Pelodiscus sinensis: one gene and its partners. The protein of the gene in region 3 purifies or fractionates together with the protein of the main gene of each other region. This does not show direct contact. Links are inferred from orthologs where the notes say so. Each region holds a gene or a part of one and is shown on either strand. Other genes may lie near its edges.

The links.
Region 1: the proteins of CCP110 (region 3) and CEP290 purify together in Homo sapiens (co-immunoprecipitation; 6 studies listed by BioGRID and IntAct, with this or other methods). This does not show direct contact. The link is inferred for Pelodiscus sinensis from reciprocal best matches to the Homo sapiens genes CCP110 and CEP290.
Region 2: the proteins of CCP110 (region 3) and CCNF purify together in Homo sapiens (affinity purification with western blotting; 7 studies listed by BioGRID and IntAct, with this or other methods). This does not show direct contact. The link is inferred for Pelodiscus sinensis from reciprocal best matches to the Homo sapiens genes CCP110 and CCNF.
Region 4: the proteins of CCP110 (region 3) and CEP76 purify together in Homo sapiens (co-immunoprecipitation; 4 studies listed by BioGRID and IntAct, with this or other methods). This does not show direct contact. The link is inferred for Pelodiscus sinensis from reciprocal best matches to the Homo sapiens genes CCP110 and CEP76.

The regions. Positions count from the first base shown.
Region 1 is NC_134711.1:76,742,980-76,750,634, reverse strand, and holds the start of CEP290 (centrosomal protein of 290 kDa), read left to right. Parts: upstream 1-4,637; 5' UTR 4,638-4,791; intron 4,792-4,813; exon of another isoform or gene 4,814-5,043; intron 5,044-7,655. UniProt on the Homo sapiens protein: Involved in early and late steps in cilia formation. Its association with CCP110 is required for inhibition of primary cilia formation by CCP110.
Region 2 is NC_134726.1:1,950,687-1,957,931, reverse strand, and holds the start of CCNF (cyclin-F), read right to left. Parts: upstream 3,004-7,245; 5' UTR 2,862-3,003; coding exon 2,849-2,861; intron 169-2,848; exon of another isoform or gene 1-168. UniProt on the Homo sapiens protein: Substrate recognition component of a SCF (SKP1-CUL1-F-box protein) E3 ubiquitin-protein ligase complex which mediates the ubiquitination and subsequent proteasomal degradation of target proteins.
Region 3 is NC_134726.1:21,043,745-21,050,579, reverse strand, and holds the start of CCP110 (centriolar coiled-coil protein of 110 kDa), read right to left. Parts: upstream 3,003-6,835; 5' UTR 2,902-3,002; intron 2,875-2,901; exon of another isoform or gene 2,150-2,874; intron 1-2,149. Other genes in the region: GDE1 (glycerophosphodiester phosphodiesterase 1), read left to right, coding at 5,152-5,385.
Region 4 is NC_134712.1:87,531,179-87,538,027, forward strand, and holds the start of CEP76 (centrosomal protein of 76 kDa), read right to left. Parts: upstream 3,012-6,849; 5' UTR 2,946-3,011; coding exon 2,883-2,945; intron 1-2,882. Other genes in the region: PSMG2 (proteasome assembly chaperone 2), read left to right, coding at 3,334-3,393, 4,613-4,784. UniProt on the Homo sapiens protein: Centrosomal protein involved in regulation of centriole duplication. Required to limit centriole duplication to once per cell cycle by preventing centriole reduplication.

The DNA of each region.
Region 1 (7,655 bases), on a different chromosome or scaffold from region 3:
TCCCACCAGCCCTGCCTGCTGCCCTATGTGCCCTCCACACATTAATTCCCTGTCCTTGCCTGTCATACTGGGCAATGGAACGCCCCACACCATGGGTCTATGAAATCAGCACTGGTAGTGCAGCAGGACAAGAGCAGCTTCCAGCTACTAGCTCTATGCCACTGCCAGCACATCCCTGCGGCCCACGGGAGTTGTGTGCAGAGCCATCCCACTCATAAAACAGTTCAGCACAGCCACAAAGGGCTCCATACTTTGGAAGCCCTGTGGTGGCTACCCCAACCGTCCTATGGATGGAATGGTCTCCCGCCATACTCAGGTTAGCTCGCAGAGCCTCAGTCAGGCTGGGACACGTAACAGGGGTCAGCAGAGCAACCACGAAGGCCTGGAAGATGGCGATGAAGTGAAACACAGTCTGCTGTGTCATTCCACTTCCACACAACTCCTGCTGCTGGGGTGGGGGTGCCCAGCCCCTGATGCCACCCTGCATCAAGCCCTATGGTAATTCACAAGGCCCCTGAGGGAGAAGGGGAGCAGAAGGGGGTAGCTGTCCCAAGGTTCCATGATTTAAAGGGGCCCAGGGCTCCCAGCTGCTGCAGCAGTGGCCAGAAGCCCCAGCCCTTTAAATCACTGCCTGAGAACTACGCTGCATGCAACATGGAGGGCTGCCTGCTCCTGGCCCTGCCCCTTTTAGCTGAGACCCCACACCTTGCTGTGCACATGGAGCTGACCTCCCTCCGCCTCCATAGCAGACCACAACACAGTTTGTTCATGGTGAACATCTGCAGGCACAGCCCCCTGCAGCTGCCATTGACCAGGAACAGTGAACCATGTCCATTGGGAGCTGGGCGGGGATGGGGGAAGAAGAGAAGTGCCTGAGACTGCTTAACAAACAAACCAAACTATCTCAAGGCCCGCCATCAGAGAACTCTGTTGGGCCACAATTGCCAACCACTGAGTTAAGCTGACAGGGGATTCTGACATCTCTATCATCAGAATGGATTTGCTCTTTTGTGGCTGGGATATCAACTATTCTCAGCCAACACTGCATTGTGAGTTTGACTCATAGATTATCCTTGACATTGGTGAAACAGCCATTGCAGGAGAGCTAGCAAAGAGTCTAAGTATTTGCAATGTGAAAATATTACACCACACTGACATTCTGAACCCCTTGTGACACCCGGTACCACATATACTCCACTTTTACAAGACTAATATATTTCTTATGTATTATTTGAAAATTCATAACCTACTGAAAATCATTATCCTGTTAAATTGTGTATAACATGTGTAAAGCTTTGGGATGTTAAAAAGCAGTTAGTTAGGTTACATGCTGTGGGCTCTTCAGTATAAAGATTATACAGCAGAGCCTGCAGCGCAATTGCTCTGGGTAGAAGTTGTCCCACCCCTCCAGCCAAACCGGGCATGCTCCAAGTGCTGGGGCAGTATAAAAGGGAGATGCTCAGCTGCCTGGGCTGGATGCCAGAGAAGAAGGATCTGCTGCAGGAGTTCCAGAAGTAATCCAGCCAGAGACCTGGACAATGGGAGCTGGACACTGCATTGAGCCTCCAGAGCTGGTGGTGCCTTAGGGAGAGACTGGTGCTGTGAAGCCTAAAACCCACACGGTTCATACCATGCCGGTACAGACGCAGCAGTGCAGTGGAGGAGAGTTTACCAGTGTGGGATAACCATGCACATGTTCACATCCTTAGTATCTACACAGTCACAGTTCCACCAGTTTAATTATGCTTATTAGTTTTAACTTTAGCACTTAATTTTACTATCCCACAATTCCTTGTATTAGGATACATATAGAACAGACCCTCTCATTTTACTTCTCTTTACCATTTATTTTGTATACTTGAATCCTATCTCTTCTTGTTCATCTCCTTTCTGAGGAAGTTAATTAGAGCCTTCCCAATCTCTCATGAGTTTTTCCATCCTTCTGCCAGTTTCTTTGCCTGTCTCAAAATCCTCCCTAAATCTATAATATTAATTTTAAAACAGGCCGACTGGTTCTGGTACTGCACATAGTTTACTAAATGATACCACATGTATATTTTTATAATCGGATATTTGCTGTAGGATTCTCCATTCTGTTCTTTATACATCATCTTTGCCTTCGACCACAGCTGCACGCTACACCTTCAATAAGTTTTCCATCTCCTAAGTTGATAGTTAACTCAGAATTTTGTATGGTATATGAACAGCTCAATTTTTCTTTCCAACAATACAGTATTTTGCGTTTACGTACATTGTCGTCACAACCAATATAAGTGACTGGGCATTAAATCAGTGTGAAGTTTAGTACAGTCTCCTCTGGTTTTCTATATATTCCCGCCTGCTCCTTGCTGCTGAGTAAGGCTTGGCAGCTAGTCTTTAATAAGACTTAAAAATTAGATCTACTGTACATAGCTTTATCCCCCCAGGTTTATGAAAAATGTCGGACCCTTTGCAATGTAGTTATATTGACTCAAAAAATGTAGACGTCTTAACCAGATGTCCATCCCACCTCCCTGAGAGATAGTTTAACTCCACTGATAGACTGATCTTTCCCTTGATATAAAAAACATCTACTCTGCAGAACTATAATGGCACAGCTGCTCTTAGCACGGACATGGCCTAAGTACGGCTTTTATTTAACTTTGGATTGGTTACTGCAGCGCCATGCCCAGAAAAGAGAGCAAAAGCGAGCTCTGAAGAAGCTATATTAAGCCAGGTATACGCTATACCTGGGAGCTCAGCTTAGGGTACAGCAACTTAAGTCAAGTTTGGCAGTATCCCCATGGCTTCCCTTACTCCTCACAAGAGGAGTACCAGATGCCACCGGGGGCATCCTCTGAGTTGGATTTAGCAAGTCTAGTTCAGGAAAGCCTATGGGAATCTAGTTTTAACTAGACTTTCTAAATTGAAGTCCAGATGATCAATTGCAGCAGTGGCAATCTTCCATGGGGTGAAGACAAGCCATTAGAATGTGAGCACCTCTTGGAGGAGAGCAGTTAGAATTAGAGACAGATATGCACATTAGGAAAGACTACAGGCAGCCCCCGACTTGTGACACGATCGGTTTCTGGGGGAAGCATTGCAAGTCAGGGGCATCATAACTCGAACCCATGTTTACAATAGGCACCATCATAAATGCGGGCCGAGGACATAAGTCGGGGGTTATTAGCCCCTTCCGTATTAAAAAATGGTTGTAAGTGAGGGGGGTTGGAACTTGGGCTGTTGTAAGGCAGGTGTTGCCCATAATTGCCAAAAACACGTATGCAACAACATCTATGTCCAAGAAAGAATACATAGCAGGAATTGTAACGAGAGAAACCCAGCTCAGCTTTGAGCGCTGTGTGCTCCTGGGTTTGTTGCTGAATAGTCCTCATATTTCCCTATAGGCTGTGTTTAGGCTGCAGGCTTCTTTTGGAAGAAGCTTTTCCACAAGAGAGCTTCCAGAAAAACTTCTGCAAGACAGCATCCACACTGCAAAAGCCTATCGAAAAAGCCATGTGCATTATATCTTTCATTTCAGCTGTGATTACTATGGATGGAGTGGCCACCAAGGCTCCTGTGCTTTTTCCTCTTCCTTCTTCCAAAAGAATTCCCTCTTCCCCGTCCACACACACACACGTGTCACTTCCCGAAAGAGCTCTTTAGGAAAAAGTCTTCTTCCTCGTGGAATGACAATTACCAATGTTGGAAAACCCCCGCTGTTCTTTTGATTTTCTTTCACAAGAACGCAATTGCAATGTGGATGTAATTGGAGTTTTTTTCGGAAAAATGGCCATTTTCCCGAAAAACTCTGTAGTGTAGACATCCCCATAGCTTCTTTGTATGGAGAACGGGGAGACCTGCCGGACAAGGCTCTGTACAACACAAGCAGCTGGTCCCTGCCCCAAGAAGCCCCCTGTCGCCACATGCCAGCTAAAAGTGACCAGTAGCACTTCAGTGCTGCCACTCCCGGGGCGCCGAGCTGCGTAGGGGGCCGGAGCCGAGGGCAACCCCCTGCTCTGCAAGTGGGGAACAGCCCCGTCCCCGAAGGCGGCGAGGGGCGAACAGCTGAGGCGGGCCCGGAACGAAGGGCCCGCACCCAAGGGCCTCGCAGCCCAGGCTGAGGCAAGACTCGAGAGCAGGGGCAGCTCTGGAGACGGCAGCCCCGCCCGGCTGCCCATGCCGAGAGACGGGAGGGGCAGCCGCTACCGGGCGGGTGAGCTCCAGCAACACCCCCCTCTCCTCCGGCCGGGCCCCCTCTGCCGCTACCCGCCCTCGCAGCGCTCCCCTACCTGGCGCTGTGCGGGTAACACGCTCTCCCTGCCGCCAATGAACATCACTCGCTCCACAGCCACCGCGCTACACGGAGACTACAAGGGACGCTCCCTTGTGTACTACGCAAGCGCGAAAACCACTACTTTCCCGAAGGCTGCCGGGAGCTGCCCCTCCACACTACAGGTCCCAGCGTGCCGGCTGGTATAAGGTTGCCTAGTGTACTGGGACCTGTAGTTCCCCGCGCGGACGCGCGGCATGCCGGGAAATGTAGTCTTCGCAAGACTTAGGCGTGGCAGATTCCCCCTTCTTCCACCGCGGCCTCTTTTGCGCCATTGAAAAACGTCCTCGCTCTTCGTGGCGCGGTGCGTGCCGGGAGTGGCAGTCTCTGCCGGGTGCGCTGTGCACGCTGGGGCTTGTAGGCCCCCGCCAGTTTTGATTCATCTGCGTGTATCCGGGTCCCCCGCGGCGCCGGCTGAGCGGTGTTTGATGGCGTCGCCTAGCAGCGGCCGTGGCCTCCAGTAGCTTAAACGGAGACGGGTGAGGGCAGGAGGGCGCGGCGCTGGGGGAGGGGGATGAGCTGTAGGGCAGGAACCCCGCTGGGGAGATAGCGGCGCCTCCCGCCCAGGTCCCGTTGTCCGCTGATTCGCCAGGGAGCCGCGCCTCCCCTTGGCGGGCCCTGCGTGGCTGAGGAGCCTGGCTGCGGCCACGCACCGTGGGAGGATCTCGGCCGGCGCGGGGCTTGTGCCACTCCAGGCTGGCGTGTTCCCAGGGCCGGTGTAGGCGCGAGAGGCAAGTGGGGCGCGCGCCAAGCTTTTAAATACGTCCCTGGCCAATAGAAGGGCTGTTGGGAGGGTGGGGGCTCTAGTTGTGATGGGGTCATGCTGCCAGGGTCCTACCATCTGCCCTCAGCCTGAGCAAGCCTGTCCCAGCTCCCTGTATCTCTGGGCAGCAGGTAGCTCAGGGCTACTCGACTTTGGAAGCCCCGAGGGCCACAATGATACTCACAGCACATGCTGAGGGCCGCAACTTAAGTGTGGTTGCATATGCATGCAAATATATGTGCATATAGCTTCTTTCACACTGACGGGTATGAATACAAAGTCTAAGGCAACACCCAGGCCCCATTTAAGTCAGTTCTGCTGATATTAATAAATGCACTAATGTGATACTGGCTCTTTGTAGAAAGCTCACATACCACCTTTTGGTAAAATATTATGCATATCTCTGATCCAGGAGATCAGTGTAAAAGTCTCTGTATCCCGAGTCCTCTATGAGTTGGCACCCGGAGGTTCATAAGTCTCAGATTGAATTCACTTATCCATCCTCTCTTCACATAATGTTTTGCCTATAACATCTTGTATTTAATATCATCCAAGTAATTTTGGATTGAACTACAGCTCAATCATGTTCTGATTTCATACAGATACAAGGTAATGCAGTTTACCACTCTGGCTGGGTGAGATGAAAAGATGTCAGAGTTCCGTATGATCACCACAATGATGGTCTTACAATATTTCCTCACATATCTCACTGATTCTATACATACTTTACAATGAAGAAGAGGGGTAACTAAGTAGAGACCTTCATGATATGACTTTTAGAGACGAGGAGCCATTTGATAACCATCAGCCATCTAAAATCAGCCTCATCTACTATCATGTGGGTCCGCAAACAAATTGGTCAATAACTCCTCATGATCACTAGTATCCAAAGCTGCACGTAGAGCTAATATCAGTATGGACTCCTGAGCTTCATCTTTGGCTATAATGAGATCATTTGCAGTGGCAAGAGAGAAAGTCAAATGGTACTTAAGACCCTTAGGCAGAGCCCCCACCACCAAGTACAAACTCTTGTCCCCACCCCCTCATTTCCACTGGGTTTTGGCATCCCTTCTCTCTGCTTTGTGAATATTGTTCAGTTGAGGATAGAGCCCTCAACTGGGATATGCCAAGCACAGTTCTGCTTCTCCACCCCAACAGTAACAACATTATATTAGCTCTGCATGTCATAAAGTAACTTGCAATCCAACACCTCCTCCAAAAGAGATCATTTAGGCAAAACAGCTCCATCATGTTGGGCATCTGGGCTAAATGAATATGTCTGTGCAAGCAAGGTGCGTTATTATAGTCTTCTTTCCAAACTCATTCAGACCTTGTTTAAACAATCAAAGTTGGTATCCTAAAATATAATAGCCTATAGGTTTGCGTAACTTTCCCAAGTCATTAACTAATTAGAAACCAGGAAGGATACAAAAGGTGTGGAGGAATAGTAAAGGACTGGTTGAATTCTAGAGTGGGACTGTTAACAAATGATTCTCTGTTTACATTCTTGGATGTGCCAGTCCCGTGTAAGGGACGGTAAAGCCCTCAAACATTTGTCTACGGACAAAGATCGGTAGGGACGGTAAAGCCCTCAAACATTTGTCTACGGACAAAGATCAGTAGTTCTATTTCAGAACTAGTTGTTCACATTTCATGGCCTGTGTTTTTATGATGCCAATAGCCTGTCTGCATAATTTGCAGTCTCAGCCTTTTGTTCTTTGTGGTCTGCTACTCTGACACATCATCTTCTGCTTAGAATATTTTTTCTCTTGAGCTCTTTTCTCCTAATGAACTGGACAGAACTAGTATTTGAAAAGATCCTTGAATTTTTTTCTGCATGGCATACTGCAGCTGCCTCCCCCTGTCATTCAGGAAAAGTAAGAGATAAAAAATATATGGATACTGTATGTGTAATGTCATCCTTGGTAAATGATTATATGGAACATAAAAAGGGGCAAAACTGGGCTGAGGTAATTCAGAACAAGTTGTGCCAGTTCCCAGAAATGTGTGAGATTCCCATAGCCTTAGGTATAGGGAGGATGAGGGCTTAGAAGTAGGGATGTAAGAAAGTGGTTGACTAACCAATAAAACCTAGGCTTATCAGTTAGTCACGTTGACTATTCGCATTTCCCCACCCCTCTCGCTGCCTCTGTATCAGAGTATGCAAAATGGGAGGGGAAACAGGAGCCATTGCTGTTGGGAGCTTGCTTAAAAGCTAGTTCCCCCTCAGCATCGTCTCCGCGGTGCCACTTACCTGGGAGGCAGCAGCATGAAGCAAGCGTAGGTCCTGGACTTGGTGCGAGCCGGGACTGAGTGCTTCTTACCTTATTAATTGTGTAGTGATAAAAATCCTATTGACTACACGATGAGTAAATTACCCACTTCTAAGACATTAAAAAAAAAAAAAAAAAAAAAAAGAGGATTTTCAAATAGACTGAGCCCCAGTGAAGATGCTGGATATCTGAAAGAGAGCTTGTCATTTACAAAATATCTGTCCCAATTCCGTATGCCAGCTAGCATCAATGGAGTGAATACACTTTTTTTTAAAATTACTCAACATTGTTGCCATCCATCTATTTA
Region 2 (7,245 bases), about 19 Mb from region 3:
GAAGTACCCCTCTATCTAGCAAGGGCTAGCAACATTTCTCCAGGTAGAGAGACACTCCGTAAGACTGAGTAATACAGTCCCTAGACCTGGGTATTTCCTAATGCAAATGAATAGGTATCTGCCTAGGGGGGGAAAAAGCAACGGGCCACCTAAAATATCCAAACTGAGTAAAATGCAGGACAATGTAGCACTTTAAAGACTAACAAGATGGTTTATTAGATGATGAGCTTTCGTGGGCCAGACCCACTTCCTCAGATCAGATTTTTGATCTGAGGAAATGGGTCTGGCCCACGAAAGCTCATCATCTAATAAACCGTCTTTGTTAGTCTTTAAAGTGCTACATTGTCCTGCATTTTGCTTCAGCTACCCCAGACTAACAAACTGAGTATGTATCCTATTAATACTTTGGAGTTTCCAGGATAACTATTCTAACTAAACATCCATTCTCCTCCTGGTAATAAAAGGCTATATTAATGTAATTTAAAGGGCAATTCTGATATGCACAAATCACTAAATTATTCTCATAGGTATCTCCCCCCCTCCCCCCAATTTCAGCAAGAGAACTACTGCAATGTAAGAAGGAATTCATCTCTAGACTGGCATGCCAATTAAGCCTGTATTCAGAACTGAAACTGACCCACAGTCCAGGAAATTGAATCAAGCAAGACTAGATGGTGGACAATATAGCTCTAGTAGCCCAGAAGTTATATTACAGTGAGTTAACTTTAAAATGGCCTCATACACTATTAACATATCTACATTGTGTATACAAGCTGCATTTCTAATATTTTAAATTCAGGTACTGACTAAACAACAAAAGCATTCCAAAATACATTTAGCAAGCAAAGATAGTGTATTTAAGAAGCAGATCTTCTAGTGTTATGTACCCCATAGCAAGAATCAGAAAACATTCAACTTGGGTGAAGTATTCTAATATTTCTGTCCAATTAATGCAGAAAGTGTAATAAAAAACCCTTTCCTCTTAAAATAAATCTGCCTGCAACAAAATCTACTTGGTAAACCCATTTATAGTTTTTGGCAAAAAAGTAATTCATTAGATGATCTGCAAGCAGTTCACTATGCTCAGATGATAAAAAAGCAAGTTTTGTCTGCTCTGGACATAGGAATCCTTAGCACTTGTGTAAAATTAGGGGAGCTTGCTCCTAGGCTTTTGGTCATACATTCTCCTTTTTCCCTCCATAAGTGTGCCAATTAGCTGCTTCCCTCAGCCAGAGGCAGCCATATTAAATTAGGAATTAATATTGCAGTTTGTATATTATTATATTAAATTTGAATTATCTTTGGACATGAGAGAATGGAGGGTTGCTTAGAGGTCATATTTCAATTGTAGATGTTATCATGGCAAAGATAAAATGAGACTTATATTGAAAAAAACAGGGAACTGCAATACTTGAGTCTGACTTTCAATCTTGTGACCAGCCTGAAATGTCAAAAATCCCTCTAATTCTGAATTAAACTTTTAAAGTATTTTTATTCAAGTCTCTGCTGTTGATGGGGAATTTTGCAATGTGTATATTTCAGTAATTTACATTTCATTCAAACACCCTGTCTTTTGAAGCAAAATCTCATCTGTTCCCTGCAAATCTTGCAGCCACACCTTCATTTCATAAATTATAAAGTAAGGTTATCTTGTGAAACTCTCTGGGTTGATGAGAAACCCAAAGTGACCAAGATAAGACTAGCAGCTCTTTTCTCAAGTCCTGGGTGCCCATGCAGGAACCATGAGTGAGTCCCCTCCCCCTGCAGGCAGCGTCCTGTCCCACTATAGGCTCGGTTGATTTTTAAATCCACCCGCCTAAACCAGTGGGGCTCCCTCTCTTTGGAATTTAAAAATAAAATCTAAAACACACTCTTTTATGAGCACAGGGGAGAAGTAAAAAGGACAATAAGGAGGTGCCAGAGACCATCTGGGGACATGGAGGTGAGGGGATTAGCCCATCAGATGCTGGGAAGGGTATTTCAGACACTACTTAGCCCTCATGTCTCAAATCTGAGAATGCAGGGTCCGAGGCTCAGAGAAACATGCAGCACCCATCCCAAGGACACCCCAGAAAACAGACAGCAGAGCATCCACCCTGCTGGGCTTAACCCCCCCCCCCCCCCCAGCCCCACATGAGGCATCTGGAGTTTGCCAGGGCAAGAGCCCCCTAACCACGGGCTGGCAACCCACTCCCTGCTGGAGCCCCCCGCACGGTGACCCCCCCCAATCCCTGCAGGACCCCCCCCGCACGGTGACCCCCCCAATCCCTGCTGGCCCCCCCCCGCACGGTGGCCCCCCCAATCCCTGCAGGACCCCCCCCGCACGGTGGCCCCCCCCAATCCCTGCAGGACCCCCCCCCCGCACGGTGGCCCCCCCGATCCCTGCAGGACCCCCCCGCACGGTGGCCCCCCCGATCCCTGCAGGACCCCCCCGCACGGTGGCCCCCCCATCCCTGCAGGACCCCCCCCGCACGGTGGCCCCCCATCCCTGCAGGACCCCCCCCCGCACGGTGGCCCCCCAATCCCTGCAGGACCCCCCCCGCACGGTGGCCCCCCAATCCCTGCAGGACCCCCCCCCTGCACGGTGGCCCCCCAATCCCTGCAGGACCCCCCCCCGCACGGTGGCCCCCCAATCCCTGCAGGACCCCCCCCGCACGGTGGCCCCCCAATCCCTGCAGGACCCCCCCGCACGGTGGCCCCCCCAATCCCTGCAGGACCCCCCCCCGCGCAGTGGCCCCCCCCCATCCCTGCAGGACCCCCCCCGCGCAGTGGCCCCCCCCATCCCTGCAGGACCCCCCCGCAGGGTGGCCCCCAGAGAGCCCAGCCCGCCGGGCGCGGGGACGCTCACCGCCCGCTTTCATGCTGCCGCCGGGCTCGCGCTGCGCGTCCCCAGGGAGCCGAGCCGCGCCCGCCGCCAGCCCGCTCGGAATGAGCCCGGCGCCGGGCACGAGGGGCGGGCCCCAGCTCCACGGCCACGCCCCCAGCCCAGCGCGCGTCGCGGAGAGCGCGAGGATCCACCCCCTCAGGCTGCGCCACGCCCCGAGCGCGTCGGACTCCGGACTCCACGGGAGGCTCCGCCCACCAGCCGCGCGCACTTTTTTTCAAACTCAATTGGCGCTGTCATTGGCCGGCCTGCGGACAGGGCGGGACCTCGCGCCCGCTCCCCGCCCCGTCATTGGGCGCTCAGGATGCGGATTCGAATTGGGGCAGTTGGCGCGAAGGGCTCGCTGGGAGTGGGCACGTGCTCAGGGACACCGGAACTTCTACCTCGCCGGCCGGCGTGGGGAGGCGGCGCCTAGTGCCAGGCAGGGAGTCTCCCGCCCCTCCCCCCTCAGCCCGCCGGGGTCTCCCGCCCCTCCCCCTCCCGGGGCCTCCCGCCTCAGCCCGCCGGAGTCTCCCGCCCCTCCCCCACTCCCGGGGCCTCCCGCCTCAGCCCGCCGGGGTCTCCCGCCCCTCCCCCTCCCGGGGCCTCCCGCCTCAGCCCGCCGGGGTCTCCCGCCCTTCCCCCACTCCCGGGGTCTCCCGCGCCCCTCCCCCCCCGGGGCCTCCCGCCTCAGCCCGCCGGGGCCTCCCGCCCCTCCCCCCCGGGGCCTCCCGCCTCAGCCCGCCGGGGTCTCCCGCCCCTCCCCCCCGGGGCCTCCCGCCTCAGCCCGCCGGGGTCTCCCGCCCTTCCCCCACTCCCGGGGTCTCCCGCCCCTCCCCCCCCGGAGCCTCCCGCCTCAGCCCGCCGGGGCCTCCCGCCCCTCCCCCTCCCGGGGCCTCCCGCCTCAGCCCGCCGGGGTCTCCCGCGCCTCCCCCACTCCCGGGGTCTCCCGCCCCTTCCTCCCCCCCCCCCCCCCGCGTCTCCAGACCCCTGTGGGCCGGGACTCCCGCATTCCCTGTCAGTCTTTCAGGCTAGGAGTCTCAACCCTCCACCCATGCCCCGCATGACCCTACGCTCCTGCACCAAGCAGGTCACAGCTGTGCTGGCAGGGATGCAAAGCGTTAACCAGTGCGGGCAGGAGCAGCCCCCAGTTTAACCAGTTAACACTAGCCGGGTGCCCTGAGGATCTGTTCTAGGACCGGTTTTGTTCAACATCTTTATGAATGACCTGGCTGAGGGGATGGATTGCACCCTCAGCAAGTTCGCAGATGACACTGAGCTGGGGGGAGAGGTAGATATGTTGGAGGGCAGGGATAGGGTACAGAGTGACCTGAACAGGTTAGAGGATTGGGCCAAAAGAAATCTCATGAGGTTGAACAAGGACAAGTGCAGAGTCCTGCAGTTGGGATGGAGGAAGAATCTCAAACATTGTTACAGGCTGGGGACTGAATGGCTAAGTAATAGTTCAGCAGAAAAGGACCTGGGGGTTACAGTGGATGAGGAGCTGGATATGAGTCAACAGGGCACCCTTGTAGCCAAGAAGGCTAATGGCATATTAGGTTGCATTAAGAGGAGCATTGCCAGCAGATCCAGAGATGTCATTATTCCCCTTTATTTGGCTCTGGTGAGGCCGCATCTGGAGTATTGTGTCCAGTTCTGGGCCCACACTATAGAAAGGATGTGGATGCATTGGAGAATCCAGCAGAGGGTGACCAAAACGATTAGGAGGCCTAGGAGGAGAGGTGGAGGGATTTAGGTTTGTTTAGTCTGCAGAAGAGAAGAGTGAGGGGGGATTTGACAGCAGCCTTCAACTTCCTAAAGGGGGGTTCCAAAGAGGATAGAGAGAGGCTGTTCTCAGTGGTGGTGGATAGCAGAACGAGGAGCAGTGTGGTCTCAAGTTACAGTGGGGGAGGTCTAGGTTGGATATTAGGAAAAAGTTTCCCTAGAGGGTGAAGAAGCACTGGAACGGGTTACCTAGTTAATTCCCTCCATCCTCACGATTTATTCCTACCCTTTGTTTCCTATCTTTTAAGTGGAGTGCCTGAAAATGTTTTCATGATCATCTAGTGATCCTTCAATTAATGTAATGACAAGCCTTTTGTTATCTTAATTACTCTGACTCCCTCTATTTATAAATAAACTCCCTACCCCTCAAGGCAAAACTGGGAGCAGCACAAGCTCTGCTTCAGTTAAGAGCTTTGTCGGGGGTCAGGGCATGCACTTTAAGCAGACGTCAAGTTTGAAATTCAGGGGTTCATACTTGGGAGGAGGGGAGGGTTAGAGCCCCTCCACACTATCTAACTGGTACCTCTGAAGAGGAGGCTGCATGCTGTAACTGGAGATTGAGATATGTGATCCTTCTCTGAATTCTAATCCTGACCTCCTTCCCCTTAGCCACCAACTCCTCTACTAACTCATAAGAGGGGAACTGGCGCAGCATCAACCTATGTTGCCTCCTAAAGCTTCACATGCACCATACAGCTGGTGCACAATGCATGTGCGGGCCAACGGTCTCTCCTATGAACAGTTCTGGCACCTGGTGCCATGCACACTCATATTTAGAATCCAGTTAGGGGCCACACATCATGAAGAAACTACAGAAAGTAACCTTGTGACGGGGTGCCGTCACAGACGACCCCTCGGGGGTGCCTCCCGGGGTGCTGACACGGCCACTGCCACTCGCCTTCCTGCTCTCTGGGGCTCCTCACTGCCCAGTCCTGCTGGGCCAGTTCCTCTGGTCTCCCCTAGCCAAGGCCCTGAGCTGAGCTCCCTGCCCCTATGGAAAAGCAGTACAGACACTGAACCACTTCAGATCCAAGGAGAGTGCAGTTTAGGGCCCAGCCTCCTCAGAGAGCACTCCCCAGATGGGATCAAACCCCAAAGAATTAGGTAAGCCCCCTTTAGCAATGAAAGGGGGGATGTGCACACTGGTTGCCCCCCCCAGGTAACAGTCGCTTACACTCGGTTTGATAGAAAATAAAAATGGTTTTATTAAGTTGAAGCAGTAGGATTTAAGTAGTAATAAGAGAGAGGAGGCAGAGCAAAGTAGGTTACAAATCAAAAGAAACAAAACAGCTTGGCTAATTCTCCACTGAAACCTCAGTGCAAACTTTTCCACCTGCCACTCTAAACCAGGGCTGTCTTCCCCACCCTGGGGTCTCAGGATCCTTCCTCCAGGTACAGCCCAGCCAAAAGACCCAGTCCTCTACTTTCCTGTCCCTTTTGTTAAGGAATTGATGCCACTCCCTACCAACCACTGCTCAGACTTAAGGACAAAAGAGTGTTTAACAGTGGCTCATCTAGAAGTTGCAGGTAACACCCTCCATGTCTCCCATTCACACATTGGAAATTCACAAATTATTCCTCACTCCCTGTGTCTAATTTTACACACACAAATGATACATACAACAGAGTAAGATAAACAGAACCAGCAGATCTTGACATGAAGATCGATGGGTTGCATGAAATAATTTGCTCACACCACTTTTGAGTTATATATATTCGTGTCCATGAGTCCATTTCATAAAGCATGGGGGAATCCGTCACACCTTCCCATGAAACTACTGCTGGAGGGTTGGACAGTGTTCAGTGCAGAGGTAGTGTCTCCTACATCCCCTTTCCTGGACAGGGCGTCTGCCACCGTGTTTTCCTTGCCTTTTATGTGCACGATCTCCATGTCAAACTCCTGTAGAATCAGACTCCAACGCAGCAGTTTCGAGGTTGTGCTCCTGGTTCTGTTCAGCCATATCAGTGGTGAATGGTCTGTAAAAATTCTAAATCTCCTGTTGAAGAGGTAGGGTCTCAACTGTTTGACCGCCCACACTATGGCGTGACACTCTTCTTCTATGACGGAGTAGTTTTGTTCAGTAGGGGACAGCTTTTACTTAGAAAGGCAACAGGGTGCTTCTTGTTATCCTTCCCTGTCTGCATAAGCACTGCCCCCAAGCCACTGTCAGATGCATCAGTGCACAATTCAAATGTCTTATCAAAATCAGGGCTGGCTAGTACAGGCTTTGCTGACAGGAGCACTTTCACCTCATCAAAGCCCTTCTGGCAGGCCTCTGACCAAACCACCTTAGTAGGTTGATGCTTCTTGCACAGGTCCGTGATGGGGGCTATGATGTCGCTGAACCCGCCCACAAACTGCCTGTAATAATTCACCATGCCTATGAAGAATTGGATCCGTTTCTTACTCTGAGGTACTAGCCAGTTAACGATGGCTTCCACCTTAATTGGGTCAGGTGACATTTCTTCGCCCCCCCCCCAATGTCCTAGATAAGGGACCTTGGCTGCCCCTATCTTACACTTGGAGGGTTTTATGGTCAGACCTGCCTCTTTAAGTCAGGAGTAGGTGCTCCTTGTTGTCCTCCCAGGTGTTGCTG
Region 3 (6,835 bases):
AAAGACTAGTGCCTAAAATATGTGGGAGGCAGTGCTGTTGTTACTTGGTGAGGGTGAAGGGTCAGAAAAGAGATTCTCTCTCAAGTAATGTGGGAAAACAAATTAACATTGTAAATATGGTTTGGCTCAAACTATCTTTGCTATAAGATGATAGTTTGCATCAACTACCCTGAAGTTTTTAAAAACTAATAATTTAGAAAATTAACAAGATTTATACAAGCAGTCCCCGGGTTACATGGATCCGACTTACATCAGATCCCTACTTACAAACGGGGTGAGACAACCCCGCACTAGCTGCTTCCCCCCAGCAGACCAGGGAGACGCGAAGCTAGCGCCCGCCGCCCCCCTCCCCCCCTCAGCAGACCAGGGAGACGCAGAGTGGCTTTTCTCAGCAGACACCTCAGCTTGAGAATAAAGGACTGAGGGAAGTGAGGTGCGGGAGAATAAAACTGAGCTCTGGAGAAATGTTTGGCTAGAGTTTCCCCTACAATATGTACCAGTTCCGACTTACATACAAATTCAACTTAAGAACAAACCTACAGTCCCTATCTTGTACATAACTTGGGGACTGCCTGTATTGTTTTCACCTTCAATGAGTGCAAGATGAATGCAGTAGTATTGTTTTACAAAAAAAATCACCCTCCATTGAATGCTTTTTCGAGTGAGTAAAGAAACAGGCAGCTCAATATAAATCATAATGATTTCATCACAAGAATATATGGTTCCCTTCAATTATGATGTACCATGATAAAGATTTACAGTACAGAATGCACTGTTATAAATAAGTCACTTAAGTTAACAATAGAAGGCAAAGACATATTTGCAGGTGCTGTAGTTAATCAAACACCTGTAACAATCATTTTCACTACAGGTGACTGAGAAGCACTAGTGAGGACAGAAGGGCACTTAATTACATGCCCTGATATTTACATTTGGAATTGATATAATTATTCCATTGGTGAAACCTGAAGACACCCTAAGCCCATGAAAATTAGTTCCTGAAGAATTTTTAACACCATGGCAGATTTAAAACTTGCAAAAGTCTATATACCTTGTTTAACTGAACACAAGGTTAAACAAATAAAGAATGGGGGCAATACATCTTTGATGATCTTTTTAAAATTACTTTTTATCCCATCTCTCCACTAATACACAAAATCCTCCTTCCAAACCCATGAGTACATTTATTTGACTTGTGTTCTCACAGATATTAAATATGGTTATTAAAAATCCCCACAGATTACTAGAATTCTAAAATGGCATTATAACCAACAGGTGCAATTTACTCCAGCATCCTGATGATAATGTTATCACTGCTGGAATTACAGCTTTACTGGGGGGGAGGAGGAGATACAAATCACAAAGTGTATTCTTAATCTTCTGTACAACAATTTGTGCAATTCTGAGACTGAAGGGAAAAGCCACACCAAAGTTTGGAAGTTGTGGACAGAAATAGTGTTACATTACTGTAAATTACTGATGATGTACCTAAAATTAGCAAACACATTCCTGGGTTGGTAAGTTATTAACCTTGAAGGCAGTGGGGCTCTGCTTAAGACCCCCCAGCTCAACAATTTGAGCTCAGAACAAAAGAAAAGATAAGAAAATTCTGCTACTAATAGCAAAACTGCTTATTCCCCATCTTTACAGAATTGCTTTTTTCCACAGTATAAATTCACTGCCCTTCTGCACTAAGTGATAGGAAGAACTGCTATAAAAATAACCCAATCTGAAGAATGTGGGCTTTTCAGCAAAAGCCCCCAAACCATGTGCAGGAGGAAATTAAGATTTGAGTCACTGAATCTGATTGTTTTTGGAGTCTCCATAACATTCTACTTGTACTAAAAATTACTGAGCCAAGCAAAAAATCTCAGCTGGTGACGGTCTTGTGTGCTGATTTGCTTTCAGGATGGTTAGGGGTCAAGAAGTTATTGGGGGCCAGCTGTCTATCACCTCTCTCTTCTACCAGATCAGCTCTCCTTGCAGAACCCAAATGCCTATGTTCAATTTCAGGCTCTCTTGCAAACTGGATGGAAACTGGAAATTCCCTACAAATGATAAAACTGGTTCAACCACAAACCACCACCACCAATGTTGATATGGCAGCCCCCGTCCAAATTAAAAATTCACAGCCACGCAAGAAACTCACAAGACATGTTAGTCCTCTCTCTCCTTTGGGTTGTCTCGTTCTTGTTACTGCCTTCGTCCAAGAAGCCCCTCCCTGAAGCTTCAGTCTCCTGATTTCTACGCAGCCCCCACCCTCTCTTCATTCAAACCCCTCATTCTGGTTGGTCCACCTGCTCTAACCCCCCGCCCCAGAAAGCAGCTGCCTTCCCCGCCCCCCAAAAGAACAGCACTCAGCTCCTCCCACCCTCAACTCAAACCTTCCCCCGGAGCCTGGGCTCCGCTACAGCCGCCTCTTGGGACTGGGCCCCGTTTTATCCAGCGCCGAACACCTCACAGCTGACACCGAGGGGCAGCGGGCGGGGGGGGGGGGGTTTGGAGGGGGGGATGGGGAGAAAGTCAGACGCCGGCGGCTTCCCCCCCCCCCACACGCCGGTGAGGCAGAGGGAGTTCTGGAGGGTTCCCGCCTACGGAGGTGGCGGCCCCTCAGGTCCAGGCGGGGGGAGGAGACGCGGAATCAGCCGCAGGCCCCGGCGCGCGCGCACACTCCGCTCCGCGGCCGGGGCAGACCCCGGTACCTGCTACGGGCCCCCACGGTGGCGGATCCGTTGCTGGCGGGCCCAGCGCACCCAGGTTCCCTGCACAGAGCGCGCTGCAGCGCTCCCCGCCAGGCAGCAGCGGGCTCCTGGCAACCGCAAATCCCGCCGCACCCCGCCCCTCTCCCCAGCGCCAGCCTTCCCACTACCCCCTCAGAGCTTCCGGCTGCAGGCGACTCACCGAGCCGTTCGGCCCAAGGGCGGGACGGAGATACTACAAATCCCAGCATGCAGTGCTTCTCCGCGACCACTTCCTCTCGCCATTTGAGGGTTGCATGCTGGGAATGGTAGTCCTATTGAGCCCTAAGCAGCTTGCCTCAATAGGGAGCATTGTGCGCAAGGTTCTGTAGTTTGAGCCGGGGTGCACTGTACTGCACTTCTCAATTGAATGTGAAGATGACTTCGATTTTATATCGGGTGTAGGGAGTTTTGCTTCCCATGCTAATATTCCCAGAATCATCCCAATTCATAGGTGCTACCACACGCCTTCACTTGATGTAGTTTTCATCATACATGGGGTTTGCAGTTTGGGTCAGTGATTCTCAGCACTCCGACTGTACACATTGTTCCAGCACCTGTGCTGATTTTCAGTGGAATATATGCACCCGTCCTAATATCATTTCAAGGACCCTGAAATCAGTACCATCTTTACACTGCATCACCATAACCTTCTAGGAGAGGTGTCACCACACCACATTTCAGAGGTGATGATAGTTTGATGGACTGTAATATGTCAATGCAGCCCTAGGACAGAGGCATCACTCACACTCCAGCTTTATTCTTTTACACGAGTCATCAGACTCAAGCTTTCAGACTTTCTCAAGAATTCATCACTCCTGTCTCTTCAGCAGCCTTGGGTACACCAGCTACTAAAGTGTTCATCAAGTAGGCATTGTGGCAGGTTGGAAGAAGACACCGCTACCGCACTAAGCTCAGGCTATGTCATCTTAAAGTTGTAGAAACACTTAGTTTGGGGGGTAGGCATTAAAGTCAGGCTAATAGTTATCATCAGTAGCATGATCTTTACACCAATTATCAATTTAAATCTTATGAGCCTGCCTTTTGTTATCTTAAAATAACACAGAACTTGTCAAAAGATTTTAAAATACTTTTCTGACTCACTTAATCATTATAAATTATTTCAGACCTATATATGTTGGACTGGTTTTCTCAGGATACAGCCAGCCAGACTTATGACCAAAACTACTCTTATTACATTGTGGGTTCAGTGAGGCAGGCATTACTTGAACTAAGCACCTTTCGCACTACTTATTACTTAGAATTCCTGTGATATTACCATTGTCTGTTGATGCAGGAGAAAAAAAGATGAAAATTTAGCACAAAATCAGTTATAATCTGAGAAAAACTGTACCACTATCTGCAACATCATTGCAAAATACCTGCATCATCCAGGCTGCCAAATGCAGAATTATTATAGGCACTGTGACCAAAGTTACAAAGTTCAAATAGTACAAGCCACAATACAATTAGCCTACAATACACTGAATTGGTGGCCAAATTCTAAGAATACCAGACAGACATAATTAAACAGAATTTTATCATAGTTCTCTGGATACTTTATGGCAACAAAGGGAAGATTTTCAAAGGCATAACTAAGCATTGCTACTGCTCAGCCAAATGATTGTACAATAATCTGTTTTCGAGGAAAGCTTGATAACAAGAACAGGGTGGCCCCTTATATGTGTAGGAAACAGAAGACCAAAACAACTCTTAAGTGCGTTTGAAGCTGTGATTTTAACACTAGGACAGTGTTTTCTTTTTGCGTGCTCGATTCATGGTCTATTGAACATCAGGAATTAGCTGCAAGATCCCCAGTTGCCGTTGCACCTTTGAACGTCCCCTTCTAGACACTTCCAGGAGTCAGAGCAGACTCAAAAGACAGGACTATGCATCACTTTAAAGACTAACAAGATGGTTTATTATGTGATGAGCTTTCGTGGGTCAGACCCACGAAATAAACCATCACTTAATAAACCATCTTGTTAGTCTTTAAAGTGCTGCATAGTCCTGTCTTTTGTTTCAGCAAGACCAGACTCACAGGGCTACATCTCTATTACTACTGAACAGACTCAGGCTCTGCCAGTGCTGCTGGAGCGTCGAGACAAGCCACTACACCGAGCCACGTTGCGCCCCAGATCCTGTCAAGCGGTACTTGAGGATTGGCTGACGGATAGAGGTGCGGCGAGCGCTGGATGGTGATTGGCTGGCGATTGCCAGTGATCGATGTTGACTGGCTGGTGGCAGAGATTCGGTGGCGGCTCACTGGTCGTTGGAAATCGATTGCCGGCTTCTGATTGGCCGGTGGGTCTAAGTGAGGATCATTGTGTGATCACGGTGCAAAGGCTCTGGCTCGGCCTAGCAACTAGTGGAGGGGGGGGGGCTCCCCGGCCCTCTCCCCCAGCTGGCTGCCATGTTGGGCACCTTCACGACCCTGCTGGGGGCGCTGCTGGTGCTGAGCCGCAGCCCGGCGCTCTCCTGCCTGCTCACCGCCGGCCTCTACTTGGCGCTGCGGCTCTTCAGCCTGGAGCCCGTCTCCCTGCAGCGAGCCCAGCACATCCTGCAGCCCCGCGGCACCGCCGCCCGCATCGCCCACCGCGGCGGCGGGCACGACGCGCCCGAGAACACACTGGCGGCCATCAGACAGGTCAGCCACCGGGGGACCCCCCCCCACACACACACATTTCCCCCGGGACCCTCTGGGACTCTCCCGCTGCCCTTCCCCCGGGACCCTCTGGGACAGCCCCCCCCCCCCCGAGCCTCTCCCCCCGGACAGTCCCTCCCGAGTCCTCCCTTTCCCGGCTGCCCTTCCCCCGGGACCCTCTGGGACTCTCCCGCTGCCCTTCCCCAGGGACCCTCTGGGACAGCCCCCCCCGAGCCTCTCCCCCCGCACAGTCCCTCCCGAGTCCTCCCTTTCCCGACTGCCCTTCCGCAGGGACCCTCTGGGTCAGCCCCTCCCCCCTCGAACTTCTCCTTTGGGCTGCCCTGCCCTCCGGGACAGTCCCTCTTGAGTCCGCCCTCCAAGCTGCCCTTCCGCAGGGACCCTCTGGGACAGCCCCTCCCCTCCCACGCGTTCTCCTTGCTGAGCCTAGGATTATTTTCTAATTGTACAAAACCAAACCGCTTTGCCACGCCCCTTTCCCTAAGGCCCCTCCCTTGCTCCCCCCTCCCGCGCTGGCTTTCCCTGGGCTGCCGCAGGGGGTTGGGATGTAGGAGGGCTCCAGCTGGCTGGGTGCGCTGCTGGTGCCCACAGGGGCTGCCCCTGCCGCTCCCATTGGCTGTGGTTACAGGTCAGTAGTGGGAGCTGTGCAGGTGGAGCTGGAGGCAGAGGGCATGTAGGAGCCAGAGGGAAATGCTTCCAGGAGCTATGCGGAGTCAGGGCAGGTGCCTTAGCCCTGCTGTGCTACTGACTGGACTTTTAACAGCTGGATCAACAATGCTGACTACAGCCGTGTCAGTCCCCTTCTGACTGGGTGTTCCAGTCGAAAACTGGACACTTGGCAATCCCAACTGAGCCTGATTTACCCCACACTCTGCTTGCTGTTCCCAGGAACCCTCTGGGACAGCCTCCCTTCCTAGCACACTCTCTCCTTACTGAGCCAAGGGTTACTTGCCAATTTTCTAATTGTACAAAACCAAACAACCTTGCCACACCCCCTTCACTGAGACCCCTTCTCTTGCTTTCCCCCACCCTCATTCACTTTCACTGGGCTGGGGTAAGGGGTTTGGATGCCAGGAGGGCCCCAGTTGGAGCTGCGGGCTCTGGGATGGAGCCAGAAACATGGCATGGGTTGAGGTCCAGCCTTTGGGGTGGTGCTGAGGGATTTGGGATGCATGAGGCGGCTCTGCTCTGGGACTGAGGGATGGGGGGTTTTGGTTCAGGAGAGGGTTCAGGGTTTGGGTTGTAGAAGGGAGTTTGGGTGAGGAGGGGGGCTCAGGGCTGGGCAGGGATTGGAATGTGGGGTAGGCTCTGGGAGGGAGTTTGGGTGCTTGAAAAGATTCTGACCTGGGGCAGAGGGTTCATGATGTAGGCTCTGAGTGAGTGGGCCATTCCCAGTTGGCAGCACAATGGGGCTGGCTCCATGCTGTTCCCAGAA
Region 4 (6,849 bases), on a different chromosome or scaffold from region 3:
TTAACCTGTTAACTAATTAAATGGGATTTTACATTCCTATTGTATACCAGTGATAATTAGAGATGAAAGCTTCTAGTTGCGTAGCTGACTACCTGATAAGCACAGGCTTATCAGGTAGTTGAGTGACTACTTAACTAGTCTCCCTCTGCTGTCTCTGTATCAGAGGCAGCAAGGGGGGGAAGCAGGAGCCAGTGCTGGGGGGAGTCGGCTTAAAAGCCAGTTCCCCTCAGCACCATCTACACAGTGCGGGGGTGGAAGCAGGGAAGGCTGAGCTGTAGTGGTCCCGGTGGCACCATGAGATGGGACTGTTCAGTCCCGGCTAGCACTGCCCCCGGGAGCCAACCCCACTGCAGGATCGCTCCGACCCCCTTATTGACTGATATTTAACATCCCTAGTGAGAATCTGGTCACATCATCCCATAAATTCATCCTTGCAAACAATATTGAACAATCACCTCCAAATATGCGAGACATGTCAAAACTTGGTGACTGAAACCGAACGCTTTGACAACACTTGTCTCTGCCTTCCACATGAACACACAAGAAACCAAATGCCACTGAAAGTGGACTTTTGAGATCTGCCTATACTACATGACTACAACCCATGGCATTAAACTCAACTGGATGCTGAACTATTGCCAACATCTTGATAATATCACAAAGAAGATAAAGAAGAAGGTTAACATCATCCAGAAGCTCATTAGCACATTGTGGAGATGTGATGAATGCATGCTTCGAACATCACTATATGCTCTTGTCTTGGCATCAGCAAAAATGTGCCAGTCTGGTGCAAAGCTTCAGTGGGTAGGCACTGAACTCAACATCATGCTCAGCCTTGTTGGTGATTCTCTGAAATCAACCCCAACCAATATGTGGGTCTCTCAATTTTGGTAGGCATAGTTCCAGCCACGGTCAGGTTATGCTAGATACTGCTTGTGGCCAGGAGTACAATTTCTTGGCCACTCTGGACTAATCCCCTGTAGGCAGGGTTTGAATCAATGCTTCCATTACAGCCAGCTGGAATGGGAAAGAAATCCTGGGTGTGGTTAGGTAAAAATAGTTCGCTCAGTTTGCTTAGACCTACTAGATATTCAACAGTTAGAATGGTGTTTTGCCCATTGTTGTGGAGCCACAAACTCTGTTGACCCTAAATGCAGGAATTGTAAGATATGACCACCAATGCTTGCAGTTATTGGGGGAATGCAGAAAAGTCATACTGTGTTTCACTCAGTTTAAAGGAGAGAGACTATCAGTGTAAAGAATAAGGCTTTCTCTGCCAAAACTCTGGAAAGTCAACTGGGAGGAGGGCAGAACTCTGAATCAGCAGGCTGCATGCACTCCAGGCGTGAGCTGTAAGACTGGTTCAACCTGTTTTGTCCCCCTCCTCCCCAAATCCGGTCTAATGTAAGAAGTAGAACAGAGTCCATAAAGTCAAGTATCAGAGGGGTAGCCGTGTTAGTCTGAATCTGCAAAAGCGACGAGGAGTCCTGTGGCACCTTATAGACTAACTGAAGTGTAGGAGCATAAGCTTTCGTGGGCAAAGACCCACTTCGTCAGATGCATGCATCTGACGAAGTGGGTCTTTGCCCACGAAAGCTTATGCTCCTACACTTCAGTTAGTCTATAAGGTGCCACAGGACTCCTCGTCGCTTTTGCAGAGTCCATAAAGAGTCTCTTTTTGATTTTAAAATGTATTCCAGCGGATGCTGGAATTTTTTGGCTAGACTGTGCTTTTGGCCAAGCGTTAAAATCACTGAGCAGCTGAAATCACAAAGGTTTGGCCCAAAGCCAAATCTACCACAAGGCTGTTGGAGGGAGCGGCCAGCAGGTAACTGGTGGAGCGGCTGGCAGGAGCAGGAAGTGAGCGGCATTGCCACATCCTCAAGGAGGGGAGACAACATGATGATGTACCTATAAGCTCTGGGTCTGCATTGACTGGACAGAGCCATGAGCAGGGTGTTTGAAGTGGGGGGAAAGCACACTATATGAGTTGGAGGGTAGATTAAAGATCTCGGGACCGTATCTTGCTTCTGGGTTTTGTTTGTGTGTGTTTCTGTGGATTAATGTTACATTGCTGTCATTAAATAGACTGTTTCTGTCTCCGACCCAGTGCTTGAGAGAGAAGAATTACCTTTAAAGGCACCCAGTGGGTAGGTTTACTGGCTTGAGCCAGTGTGGGTACATTGTTGAAAGAACTCCCTAGATACTGAACTGGCCCTTCTGACTGCCAAGTGCTACCTACAGAAGGGTTACACCACCTCAGTTCACTCCCTCTCTCCGCACTGAGAGCCAAGGTTTCCACAGGACTATCACACAGGCCAATGGAAAAGCTGCCAGCACTCATTGGCACAAGTCATGGATGGCTTGCGATGTCCCAATCAAAGACTCAAAGGTAGAGATAATGAAAAATCCAACCCTCTGTCTTCCCCACAGGCAGCAGCCAGCACTGCCTGGACAAGTGTGTGCGCTGTAAAGATTCAAAGGCCGGCCAGCTGGTTAGCAGAGCCCCCCTCAGCCAGCGGGATGTGTGGCGAGCGGTGGTGCGCAGCCGCACTTGCCTCGGGGCACATACAACTGATGGGGCGGGTGGGAGAAGTGGCGGGACCCTTGGCGGGTAACTCGCGCCGACAGGGAAAAGGCAGAGAACGCCCGAGCTGCGGGGATACGAGCCCCGGGACGCAGCTGCCCCCATTGTGCCTGCAGGCTGGGGGGGGGGAGGGGGGGGGCACTATAACGTCGGTCCGAGCGCCTCAGCCCCGCTGCTTCTCACACGAGCGGCGCGAGCAGACACCAGCCCGCCCCCCACAGTGAAGCCGGCACGAGCCCTCCGCGCGCAGGGTAAAGCCCCGGCCGAGCCGGCGCGCGCACTTCCTGCCCCTCACCCTGGCCAGCTGCTGGCGGATGATCTGCTTCAGCTCCGAAGCTTTCTCCGGAGGCAGCGCCATGGCGAACCCCCAACACCCAGAGCCGGTGCCCCCTCCCCCCAGCCCCGCCCACTGCGCTCCGCAACCGCGCGCTCCGCCCCAACCGCTTTTCGAACAAGCGTCCCGCCAGAGCGCGAGGGCGCCCTGCTCAGACGCCTGATTGGAAGCCCGGACCCTCCTCCAGCCCGGGGCCGAGAAACGGGCCGGCCGCCCCCCCTGTCAGGGGCTCCAGTTACGCATCAGAGGACGTCCTGCCGAGGAGCCCTACGGGGACAGGCGGTTACAGAGGACGCCTAACTCCCCCCTCACACATCAGCCCCCGCTTAGGCGTCAGGCAAATGCGCCGCAGAGCGGAAGGACCCTGGCGGAGGCGAGTCGCGCGCACCCAGCGCTGAACGCTCCCGGCGCGATGTTTGTGCCCTGCGGTGGCTCCGCGCCCGCCAGCTTTGAAGGCTTCACGCTCCTGCTGGTAACGCCGCGCGCGGCCCTGGGGGGGGAACCGTCGCCCCCGTCGGGGCCTGAGGGCGCAGCGGGGCGGGATGCGCGTCCCTGCGGAAGCGCTGGGTGGGTGAGCGGCGGGGGGCAGAGAACCAGCCCCCCCTCCCCCTCCCCGAGCTGGGAAATAGAAACGTGTCTCCGCTGCTGTTACTTGCCGGGGCTTTGTCGTAGCCTGGACCTGGGGGGGGGGGTCGCTTGTCTAACCCGCCCCCGCAAGAGGGGATGCGAGTAACGGCAAGCGCTGTGTGGATGTTGGGAAGCTGGTGGTAGAGGCAGCACATTCAAACTAGGGATGTGAACGACTAGTCGACTATCCGGTAAGCAAATCCAACTAGTTGCTCCCCCCACCCCCTTGCTACCTCTATCAGATAGAGGCAACAACAGGGGGAGAAGAGAGGGGTAGTTTGAAGCAGTGGAGCCGCATGGACCCTGTGGCACTGTCACTTTGAAAGGCTGTGGTGGTATCACAAAGCGGCAGCACCATACTGAGCCCAGCATCACTTGGGAAGTTGACCCTGGGCTCCACCAACTTTGAAATGTACAAGAGTCCCCAGCGGGAAGTGCCTGCTTGGAGCCCAGAGTCAGTGAAACTTCCCGCTGGCCCTGGGCTCCATGCGGTGGTCCAACTTTTTCAAAGGCGGAATGCTGAAGTGCCAAGTTGAGTAGTCAATGGAGAATTCATCGACTACTTGACTAGTAAATTAATTGCTAGTTGACATCCCTAGTTCAAATGCCCATCCTTGAGCGCACCCAGGTCAAAGACAGTGGTAGCTGAGTTTGGTGCAGTCTCCTTGATTAAGTTTTCAACTAATCTAACAAAAACTATTGTTTTCCCATTACACAACTAAATGTTCATAGTTTGCTATCTTAAGCCTAATCTTTATGGGTAGTAGAGGCTGTATGTTGATTTTTTTTTTCAATAGTGCACATCTTATTATTCAGTGCTGGTCTGTTAGTACAGGAACAATCTGTTAAAAAGCCAGTACCTTCCATAAAGGGAAGTTTTAGGTTTTCTGACCCCACTTTTAAAATATTGGGTAAGAGGATTGTGATTTGAGCATATACCTACAGATATTTTGTGGAGTTTTCATTTATTAATTTGAATATTATACATAGTTCATTATTCAAATCACAGTTGAATGTATAAAAACTGTAATAACAATATGGTCACAAGTCTTCTGTTGTTCCAGCCAGCTGTATCCGTTGGGAATGTTGGCCAGCTTGCAGTAGATCTACTTATTTCTACCTTTGACATGCCTAAAGTTGGTTACTTCTACACTGATTGCCTGGTGCCAATGGTTGGGAATAATCCATATGCAACAACAGAAGTAAACTCAACAGAGTTGAGTATAAATGCTGAAGGTGTGTTCCAAAGTTATGTCTCAAATATTGAAGTGTGCCCCAATCCTACAATGAGCTTTATACAGAGACCTCCCAGTAAGAATGGAGTCTATAGGGGATGGTGGAAGTAAACCCATCTGCATGGTGCCACCAATTTAATGGCCATGAAATACATCATTGACAGTGAAATCTGGTTTTGTGTGTGCTCCCCCCCCTCCCCCCCGATATTATATAGATTTCACAGGGGAGAACACATCTCACGTTGGGGCCCTGACTCAAAAGGGAATCGTCTGTCAGGGCTACAAGGTCATTTTAAGGATGCAGCAATCTTGCTGTTCTTAACATAACATAAGAACGGCCGTACTGGGTCAGACCAAAGGTCCATCTAGCCCAGTATCCTGTCTACCGACAGTGGCCAGCACCAGGTGCCCCAGAGAGGGTGGACCGAAGACAATGATCAAGCGATTTGTCTCCTGCCATCCCTCTCCAGCCTCTGACAAACTGAGGCCAAAGACACCATTTTATCCCCTGGCTAATAGCCTTTTATGGACCTAACCTCCATGAAATTATCTAGCTTCTCTTTAAACTCTATTATAGTCCTAGCCTTCACAGCCTCCTCTGGCAAGGAGTTCCACAGGTTGACTACACGCTGTGTGAAGAAGAACTTTCTTTTATTAGTTTTAAACTTGCTACCCTTTAATTTCATTTGGTGTCCTCTAGTTCTTCTATTATGGGAACTAATAAATAACTTTTCTTTATCAGCCGTCTCCACACCACTCATGATTTTATAGACCTCTATCATATCCCCCCTCAGTCTCCTCTTTTCTAAACTGAAAAGTCCCAGTCTCTTTAGCCTCTCCTCATATGGGACCTGTTCCAAACCCCTAATCATTTTAGTTGCCCTTTTTTGAACCCTTTCTAAGGCCAAAATATCTTTTTTGAGGTGAGGAGACCACATCTGTACACAGTATTCAAGATGTGGGCGTACCATAGTTTTATACAGGGGCAGTAAGATATTCTGGGTCTTATTTTCTATCCCTTTCCTAATAATTCCTAGCATCCTATTTGCCTTTTTGACCACCGCTGCACTCTGTGTGGAAGTTTTCAGGGAACTGTCCACGATAACTCTAAGATCTCTTTCCTGATTTGCCGTAGCCAAATTAGCCCCCATCATACTGTACGTACAGTTGGGGTTATTTTTCCCGATGTGCATTACTTTACACTTATCCACATTAAATTTCATTTGCCATTTTGTTACCCAATCACTCAGTTTGGTGAGATCTTCTTGGAGTCCCTCACAGTCTGCTTCTGTCTTGACTATCCTAAACAGTTTGGTATCATCTGCAAACTTTACTACCTCACTGCTTACCCCTTTCTCCAGATCATTTATGAATAATTTGAAAAGGATTGGTCCCAGGACTGACCCTTGGGGTACACCACTAGTTACCCCTCTCCAATCTGAAAATTTACCATTTATTCCTACCCTTTGTTTCCTGTCTTTTAACCAGTTCTCAATCCAAGAAAGGACCTTCCCTCTTATCCCATGGCCATATAATTTACCCAAGAGCCTTTGGTGAGGGATCTTGTCAAAGGCTTTCTGAAAATCCAAGTATACTATATCTACTGGATCCCCCTTGTCCGCATGTTTTGTTAACTCCTTCAAAGAACTCTAATAGATTAGTAAAATTAATCTTAGTTAAGATTAAGATTAGTAAGAACTCTAATAGATTTCTTACTTTTGTGCTGTCTTCAGAGCTGGGCAGCAGCTAGAGACCAATAGCTGTTGGCCAGGCATCCAGCTCTAAAGATAGCACCCTACCAGCCGCAGTGCAAAAGTAAGGGTGGCAATACCATATTTTACCACCCTTACTTCAGTGCTGCTGCCTTCAGAGCAGGTGGCCAGAGTGTGGTAGCTGCTGACTGAGGGCTCAACTTTTTAGGCAACAGCACAGAAATATGGGTGGCCATGCCATCCCTGCTTCTGCAGTGCTGCTGGTGGTGGCTCTGCCTTCAGATCTTGGATCCCAGCAGTCACAGTTCAGCCACAGGTAAGGGTAGCAGTACTGTCACTTCCCCTACAATAACC